Daphnia pulex: one gene and its partner. The protein of the gene in region 1 binds, or shares a complex with, the protein of each later gene. Links are inferred from orthologs where the notes say so. Each region holds a gene or a part of one and is shown on either strand. Other genes may lie near its edges.

Region 1 (5,129 bases):
TCCTGACATCTCCTTCTGCCATCAGCTGCTGGGCGTACAGATGGGCCATTTCCCTCCAAAACCTATCGGATCAATACTCCAATTAATGATCGTCGAGTCTCATCTTGTGATTTAAAAAATGGCCAACTTACTCCAAAGAGACTTGAGGAGCCAAACTAACAAGCCAATCATTAAGCTGCCTTTTCTTTACAGCTTCTCGTAGCATCGATTCGACATCTCCTTGCCAGATTCTCAAATGAGCTGCTAGATCTGAATTAGAACCTTCTTGATGATGGTCGATCTCCTCCTGGAGCATTTGAACTGTGGAATCCCGGCTAGCAAAAAAGCCCAGATGAGCCAACTCGGCATCTCCGAAATCAGAGGCAGGACATGTAAAGGATTCCGGATCTTCGCCAATGACGGAATGTTTTAGAGTCACTCCTTTCAGGGTAGCCAATATTTTGCAGTCTTTCAAACCCTCGATTCGGCCACGGGCTTCAAGAGTGGCGCTAACCGGGAACAATGATTTCAGCTTACTCGGTGGCTTCTTTTTAGTTGTGCCACTTGAAGTTGCATGGCGACCAACAAAAGAAGAAGATTGAGGGGGTTTGTATGGTATTTTCTTTCGTTCCTTCAACGTTTTGACTGCAATAGATTCGGCAGGTGTCTTGTAGACTTGTTCTTTAACTTTCCACATTCGAATAGTCATGTCGTCTCCTCCTGTAACGGCCGTATCCTGTTCTAATGCGTTCCATTCGCAACAAAGCAATCTTCCGGTATGGCCACCAAAATTAGCCACTTGCTCTTTGTTGATCACGTCCCAAACCTGCAAATGCAAGTAAAAATAAAAGGGTATAATTAAAAAGTCTAAGAATGATTTACCTGTGCGGTTCCATCATAACTGGCAGAAAGAAGCTTTCCATCTTCATGTGGGCTCCAAGCCACCGACACCACACGTTCTTTATGACCGCTTAGAGTAGCCGCAAGTGTGGATGTTGCGGGTTCGTCGTTGTTGGCAACGACGACGCTAAAAACTGGAACAAAAGTAAAAAGGCGTCAGTCAGTCAATAAAACAAAAGGGGTCAAGATAGTTAAAATTTACACGTACCTTTGATGTTCACATCGTTTGAAGCCACTGCCAACCAGTTTTCAAATTTGGAAGGTTCCACACTTTGGAAAGTGAATGGCGGATGCCATTTAAGGCATTGAATAAGTTTTTTATGCGCAACGATAATCGTTAGCAAAGATAAATCGCCGCCTGAATAGATTTCCACAGAACCGTCTTCGTTGCCTACGGCTAGAAGAGAAAAGTCCACTTTCCATTGAAATTCCGTACGCGAAGGGAACTTTTGATTTTTTTCTCCTTTGCTTGCGATCAAATTATTGAAATTTTTTGCTTCCGTATCTAATGCTGATGGATCGTGAACCATAATGTTGTTCCCACCACAAGAGTAGAGGAATATCCCTTCCTTAGACGGCAGGGTAGCCCAGGATAAATTGTATACGGTACCCTTGTGGTAAGTGCGACTCAATTGAGGTGGTTTAGTTAGCGACAGTGTGTCAAATATTCCTACGCGTCCTTCATCGGTTCCAAATGCCAACCGGCCCTCTATTGTCGGATGCCACGCTAATCCACTCACTTTGCCTGTTATGATTGAATTGCAATTTTACTCTCTATACTGCATAAGTAGATTATATATTCATCACCTTTGATTCCATTCCACAGCATCATCATGTCAGGTTTCGCAGCTGCCATATTCCATAGTCTGATGGAGCAGTCTCCCAATCCCACAGCCATTTGGGATGAATCGATGGGATTGATATTCATGACGTAGATGAAACCACCCATGGTTGGCATACAAAGATGCGGATTCTCCATTTCTTGAATGCCTAACACTTCTTTTGGTACGTGGCCTTCCACTATGGGCCAAAGAATAACATTACGATCCTGCGCCGAAGTCCAAATCATTTCCTGGTTTTCTCCAGTCATGTATGAAGAAATATTGAAGAGTCCACGGCTGTGAAGCTTGTGAACGATCTTCCAAGACAATTTGGGCCCAACCTACAGCAAAACAAATTGATTAAATTCATGCAAATAAAAATTTAACTTAAAATTCTGACCTCCCACAAGATAAGTTCACCACTGAGTCCACTGCTCAAAATATGTTTTTCGTTTAGCCAATGTAAGGCTACCCAGGTCGCACGTTTATCATCCTGAGTAGACCGAGGGCGATGGACTCCAGTATTGCCAGGAAGTTTTGATTGGCTGACACATTTTCCTTCGTTAGTGGCCCAGATTTTAATAGTTTTATCTCGGCCCGAAGTCGCCAAGAATGTTTCCTTCTTTTCTTTTTCACAAATAAATACATTTCCTTTCAAAGGGCACCAAACGATGTTGTGTAGATCCTAAAAGAATTTGTTGTGAATTAATGACGACACTTCATGGGAAAACGCAAAACTGGTTAAACTTATTACATCTTCGTGAGCTCGCAGTTTATGAATTATACCACGGTTTTCTAAATGAAATCAATGATATGTGTGATGAAAAATCATGATAATGTTAGAGCAAGTACTGAATCATTACCTCTAACATCACATATGTACAGCAATCCACCTTTACAGCCAATGGCCAGCTGCCATGGAATGTGGGGATTGAATGACAGCATAAGAGGGTTTATTTTCCCATAATTGAGCTTCCGAGTGCTGCAACTCTCATAGCTCAATAGTAGCTCTGTTATTATGATGGTCCCATCTTCACTTGATGATGCCAAGATTTTCTTATCCAGTAGAGAAGACCAACTTAGACAAGAAATTTTTTGCTCCTAGAAAAAGATGTCAAATTAGATTTGTAGCTTGACAATATGTTTTACAAATATTACCTGATGTGCATTTTGTTCAAATACAAGACTCAAATCATTATATTTCCATATACAAATAGAACCATCTTCTCCAGCACTACTCAGCAACAAATTATTCTCTTCTGAGGGCTGATACCAAGACACACCTTCATATGAAAACAAAACCGATTAATTGAAAAGTGAACCTAAGGAAGTTTATGCTAAACTAACAAGTAATTTTATTCCTGTGGGCGTCCGGGATGACATTAGTTGTAGGATAACTGAAATTATCTCCTACATTACAAGATTTCACAAAGACGAGGCATCGCGAAGCAGCATAAACTAATACTCCAGACTTTTTGTGACATTCAAAAGCACCACTCAGATACCAATTTGGAGATGGAGGAATCACAATCTCTTTTTTATTTTCTGTCATCCTACAAGTTTAACTTGTACAATTTCTTTAAGTTGAAAACTAAATCTTACATATACGCACCATGTGCGAACAATTTCAAAACAACGTGCACAGACGACAAAGGTGGTGCTAAACAGTAAACCTTACTAAAAGCAGATATTACATAATTTATTTTTGAGATGGGATAAGTTAAGAAGTTGTAATAATTCTTTAAATAACGCTCAGAAAAAATTCGTTATTATGAATCATGAGCGATCCTTCGTGTTGCATAAAATAAAACAATTCTTGGCCGCTTCCAAGGGTAGCTCGAATTGTTCCTCATCAAATCAGAAATCAACGAACCTTGTTCGAAATGTGCGCGTCAAAAGGAATTCGTCACTTATTTCGAAGAATAGCTTACGCTCATAAACGTCGATAGATGTGTGAATGTAGGCTGATATTGTTTGTCATGTTCCAGAGTTTCAGTGAGCAATATGGAGACCGGAAGATGCAGTTTCGCTTGTGCATTTCTACATTTGTTCATAAATGTTCTATTACTGGTACGCTTAATTCTTTATTATTTACGAAAACTCATTGCAATCAATGAGTGACACAAGTAATTATTACGAAACATGGTAGGTTCTCGGAATGTGTTTACTTGGATTTGGACTAGCTGAAGAATCTACTCGGCTAACATCCATACTCTCGGCTGAATTGAAAATCGGAAGTCTTGCTGTTGTCATAGGAGTCATACTGATCGTTATGACGACGCTTAACTGTTGTTTCACTATTGACGGCAGTTCTGTTTTTTACTACATAGTGAGTAAAATAAAAATAATTTTCTTTCTCCCTATCTGTATCCGTAGTGAATCGTATTAAAGAGACGTTGACACTTGACAGTATGCAGGTTTCCTCGTACTGTTGTTCATTGCCATGGTTGGACTTTTGGTGGCGTTCGGTCCTGATTTCGGTACTAAAGTCAAGCAAGACATTAGAGAGTCTATGCGCGAAATGATGTATTTCGATCCCGACGGAAGTGGGAAAACTGGAATGGATATCACCCAACAAATGGTAAATTAGTTTACTTGGAAATTAGTCGGCTGACGTGATAAAGCGCTTGGTTTAGTTCCAGTGTTGTGGCGTTGATAGCTACAAGGACTGGAACAGCGTAGCAGGATATTCATTCATTCCTGATTCCTGTTGCGTTAAATCAGGATGCGACACTTCCTATCTGAAGAATATATACCAAGAAGTAATTAAATATTATTATTAATCAGTTACATTAAATTTAGTTTAAACTTAATTCTCACTTTACAGGATTGTGTCTCGAGCATGATGAAGTCGGTCGATGCCCTCTTCGCCAAAATAACCGCAATTGGGATTGCCATTACGATATTCCTACCTTTTCAAATCATTCTTGTCATTTTTCTAGTCCGCTGCGTTCCGAGTGATCCTGTCTATCAATAGTTAATTTGTTTGTTGCTACAAAAAGGAAAAATTTGATTGTGAAAAGAATAGACGCCCGTATCAGGTCATCTCAATTTATTGTTACGAATTAATCACACTGTGGAAAGGCCCGCAAAAGTACAATCGAGGGTGAAAAAACGAGTGAGTTCAATCATTGACAACTGAAAGAAACGTCATATCAAAAAGGGGGGTATCCCCCTGACCTACCAAAAAATAGGCAGAAAACATTTAATTCACATCATTTAAAATATCTGATAGCGCTCGGGCTAATTTTGGATCACAAGCACGAACAAGTACTGCCGGCTTGAAAGACGTGACGGCTCCTTCAGATGGCATGGATTGACCTGCAAAAGCTTAGGTGCTTAAGCTCTCTCTCGGAACATTTATTAACGATGAAAAAATCTATCTCCTCTCTCCGGATGTTCATTAAAACTTGCCTTCGACATAGTCTC
Region 2 (3,610 bases), on another chromosome or scaffold:
GGAAGGAGATCGTCATGTTTCTCGCCATTCAAGTTTCCCAGTTTGTTAGCACACTTTCGCTTACAGCGCAATGTGAAAGTGTAGTGATCTAAACAAATAATCAATCTCCATATTTATAGGTACCACTGAAACCTGCTTTGATGTTGTATAAACATACTTGAGATGCTGGAAATGAAATCAGGAAACCAGCCTTGATCAAAGGGACCCTCACAATGAGCTCTGCATTCTTCTTCTGCTTGCAAGTATTCTACCAAGGAAAGCTCCATGTTGGTTGTAGTTCTGTCATAGTCCTTCTTTTTGTAGGATTCACTGCCACGAATGTAGAATTCAACATAGGGTTTAGCTTCAAGGTTGATGACATAGTTGGGATCCACTTTCAATTCATTGATGAAAAATCTAAGATTTTCTTTCATCACAGTATGGTTTAAATTCATAGTTAAGAAAGTGTAGGCACAGGAAGCTGCCTTGATATTATCGTTGGTCTGAAATAATCCAAACACAAAAGTTTAAGTAAATAATAAAGAAAATGTGATGTAGGATACTAACCTTGAAGTAGCAAAGCTGAAGATAGTCATAAGGTTTCAAAGTGTCAAAATCATCTGTTTAAAATGTAAAAATTTTTAAAAACAGAAAACATATTTGATGAAGATAAGACTGTCTAACCTGCAACTTTACGGTCAACAATTTCTGCACGGTTCTTCAAAATATCTTTCTTGCATTTCAGTAAGCAAAGTGTCTTCTTTATCATCTTTTCCCATAATTTCATATCTTCCAACTGTGGAGACACCAACGGTTTGTCAAAAGATTCCTTGAGACATTCCAATCGACAGCCCACCACAGCATCTTTGTAAAAATGATAATCTTCAATGGCTTCGTTCATACGCGTGACGCACTCATCCCATTGCTCATTTAGATATGCTTCTACTGCCTGGCTGTAAAGAATATCGTACGAATTGGCAGGATCAGCTTTTGTAGCAGAGCAAAAGTAAACCAAGAGGGACAAAAAACAAGCTTTAAACAACATATTCTTACAATATATAATAAGGCTTGACAAAATAAAATAACATGGGCAGACTATGGAGCTATGGAGCAAGGGGAGGTTATCTTTGTGACTGCTCCACGTTAACAGTCAAGATGCCCTATGCAAAGAAGAGGGGTACATATATGCGTGAGAAAACATCTGTTAAAAACCTTAAACAAATTCTCGTGTTTCAATGTTTTGACTTAAAAGCAACATTGCCAATTATGAATAACGCAATCATGAAATTAATTAATCTTGAATTCTTTCAAATTTGAATTATATTTTTCAATTGCTGGTGGTTTTTTAACCGTGAATCGTGAGATGACAGGTAAGTGCAATAATTTAAATTTTTAAGTAAATAGAGCTGACAAATTAAAGTGATGTAGATGTCGCTTGCGTCTGAGCAAATAGTGGCGCAGAACCGCAGACGACAACTTAAACTTCAAAACAAACAACTGAAATCATTTGTGAAATTCCAGGCATGGATGAGTTCCTCCATAAAGCGCTTTACGTCGAGGAAACAGACGAGGATATCGATTTTGAGTCTGCGCCCAGTACAGGCCAAGAATACTTGAGAAGAGTTATGTAAGTCATGAAAACTTGTGTGTTAATAAATTGTATCACTATAAATTCATGCTGCCGGTTTATTTGGATAGAGTCGAATCGCGAAAATGCGAAGCGGTTGTAGTTGCCGATATGAAAGGAAAGAAGCTCAAAGCCCAAACTGTCAAATACACTACGGTAAGTTTCATTTTATTCAAATTTATTGATCTAGTCTGTCATTTCTGTGTAAATTCAGGACTCTGGCTGCCCACCTGCACCAGAAGTTTTCCTACCTTCAAAAGAATGGCAACAATTCCAAGTCTCTCAGTTTTCCTGCCTCAGGAGCCGCATGGCAAAACACTTGGCCAGGCTGAAAAAACAAGGAATTCAAATGAAACCGAATACAACCCTGGTAAGATCTTTGCTGTTGCAATGGCTTCCAGATAAATGAGTTTGGTCTTAATTATCCCTTCCAATTGTAGCCTGCTGGAGACAAAGAAAAGGAATGGTCAGTGTTGTGCTATGGTAACCCTGAGGATGAAAAGCCTTGTGGAACACCACCTATGCTCCCCATCATTTTATCCCTCAACCAGGTATATGAAAGTCACCTACTTCTCAGCATTCACACTATTATTTCTGTTGATGCAGTTTATGGTGGAGACTCTACTAGAGTACAACGTACAATGGCTGGAGGAGACGAATTTTACTCAGCAAAGGGGTCAGTGGCTCTACGCTCTACTTGCCAAATTGGAGAAACCTTTGAAACCCGAAATGTGTAGCCTCATCAGAACACTGGCACGTTTGTGTAGCACATTCCGAGTTCAATTAACCTCGGTCGACGACCCGCTGTTGGCCCAGCTCAATCTTTTCATATGTCTAGTCGGTCGTTACTTTGATCAAAGTGATTTAGCCGATCCGATGAAATGATTTAAACGCGAACAACGAACATTTCTGGTAACACATTTCCCGCATTGTATTTTTATTTTATTTTTCTTTTGCTCGCCATTTTGTAAGAAATAAAAAATGACTGATGGTAAATATAGTAAAGATCGTGGGTGAATAAGAACATGCATGTGGCTGATGGTATTACATTTAACACTTTTTTTGTTTTTTATTCGGGAGGGATAGGAAGAGGAGCTGAGTTGCATTCGTTTTTTTTTTCTCCCCCATTTTTCAGTGATGGCAAAAGTGGTGGGTGAAAATAAGAAGATTATAGCAGTTACATGTATAATAGCTGGAGGAAGAAAGAATTGAAGGGAAGGTCGGACAGAGATTTTAGAATTAGAATTTGCGTGTGTTTCTTCACAATTCCATTGATTCAACAGTATATAGAGATACGTTAGAAAAATTTGAACTTTCCCATCGATTGAACGAACCAACACAGGAAGGAAACGAAAAAGTGTAAGGAGAGGCGATGCCAATATATTTCTTATATATATTGTTTCTTTTTTATTCATTTTTTTGTTTTTTGTTTTGTTTTATTTACTGCATCCAATCTCCTCCGTTGTGTTCTCCTTCAGCAGATGAAACTGTCGCAAAAATTCAATATTATATCATGAAACATTTTTTCTTCTTTTTTAAATATTGAAAGTGTGAATGTGACATCTGGGATCGACGGCGGAGGAGAAACTCGACAAAGTAAAAACGGATCCGACAAAAAGGAAAAAAACAAAAAAACACGATGAAAAAAAGGGGGGATATAAGGATATGGCCAAATATACTTTGGATGGAGGGTAGAGGGGAGCATTGATTTTATGTGGGAGGGCAGACACTGGGGACAAGAGGTAGCAGCAGCAATAGCATAGATGGGCGGGCGTGGTGGTGAGGGCTGGTAAATAAAGAAAAAGAAATTTTCACGTCTTTTTTTCTTTTCTTCTTCTCATGTGAACGACACGCAGCAGTATATAAATGATGATGTTAAGACACAAACACACACACACACTCACATGTACAAATATATTTATTATTATATTTAAAATGAAATTTAAAACTCAAGTGAATTTATTTTCTTTTTAGTTTTTTTTTTATTTTGTGTGTATTTTTATT

What was found. The genes of interacting proteins can lie anywhere in the genome.
Region 2: gem-associated protein 5-like (region 1) and gem-associated protein 2-like share a complex: the UniProt entries of both Homo sapiens proteins name them as parts of the SMN-Sm complex. The link is inferred for Daphnia pulex from reciprocal best matches to the Homo sapiens genes GEMIN5 and GEMIN2.

What each region holds. Positions count from the first base shown.
Region 1 is NC_060024.1:12,896,828-12,901,956, reverse strand, and holds the start of gem-associated protein 5-like, read right to left. Parts: upstream 3,380-5,129; 5' UTR 3,253-3,379; coding exon 3,048-3,252; intron 2,984-3,047; coding exon 2,859-2,983; intron 2,802-2,858; coding exon 2,564-2,801; intron 2,496-2,563; coding exon 2,455-2,495; intron 2,386-2,454; coding exon 2,101-2,385; intron 2,042-2,100; coding exon 1,687-2,041; intron 1,625-1,686; coding exon 1,088-1,624; intron 1,014-1,087; coding exon 862-1,013; intron 806-861; coding exon 132-805; intron 63-131; coding exon 1-62. Other genes in the region: CD63 antigen-like, read left to right, coding at 3,705-3,770, 3,850-4,029, 4,111-4,281, 4,337-4,462, 4,528-4,677; E3 SUMO-protein ligase RanBP2-like, read right to left, coding at 4,906-5,021, 5,115-5,129. UniProt on the Homo sapiens protein: The SMN complex catalyzes the assembly of small nuclear ribonucleoproteins (snRNPs), the building blocks of the spliceosome, and thereby plays an important role in the splicing of cellular pre-mRNAs.
Region 2 is NC_060025.1:2,087,011-2,090,620, forward strand, and holds gem-associated protein 2-like, read left to right. Parts: upstream 1-1,426; 5' UTR 1,427-1,502; coding exon 1,503-1,606; intron 1,607-1,677; coding exon 1,678-1,762; intron 1,763-1,820; coding exon 1,821-1,976; intron 1,977-2,046; coding exon 2,047-2,157; intron 2,158-2,212; coding exon 2,213-2,491; 3' UTR 2,492-2,630; downstream 2,631-3,610. Other genes in the region: endoplasmic reticulum protein SC65-like, read right to left, coding at 1-88, 158-482, 547-599, 664-1,024. UniProt on the Homo sapiens protein: The SMN complex catalyzes the assembly of small nuclear ribonucleoproteins (snRNPs), the building blocks of the spliceosome, and thereby plays an important role in the splicing of cellular pre-mRNAs.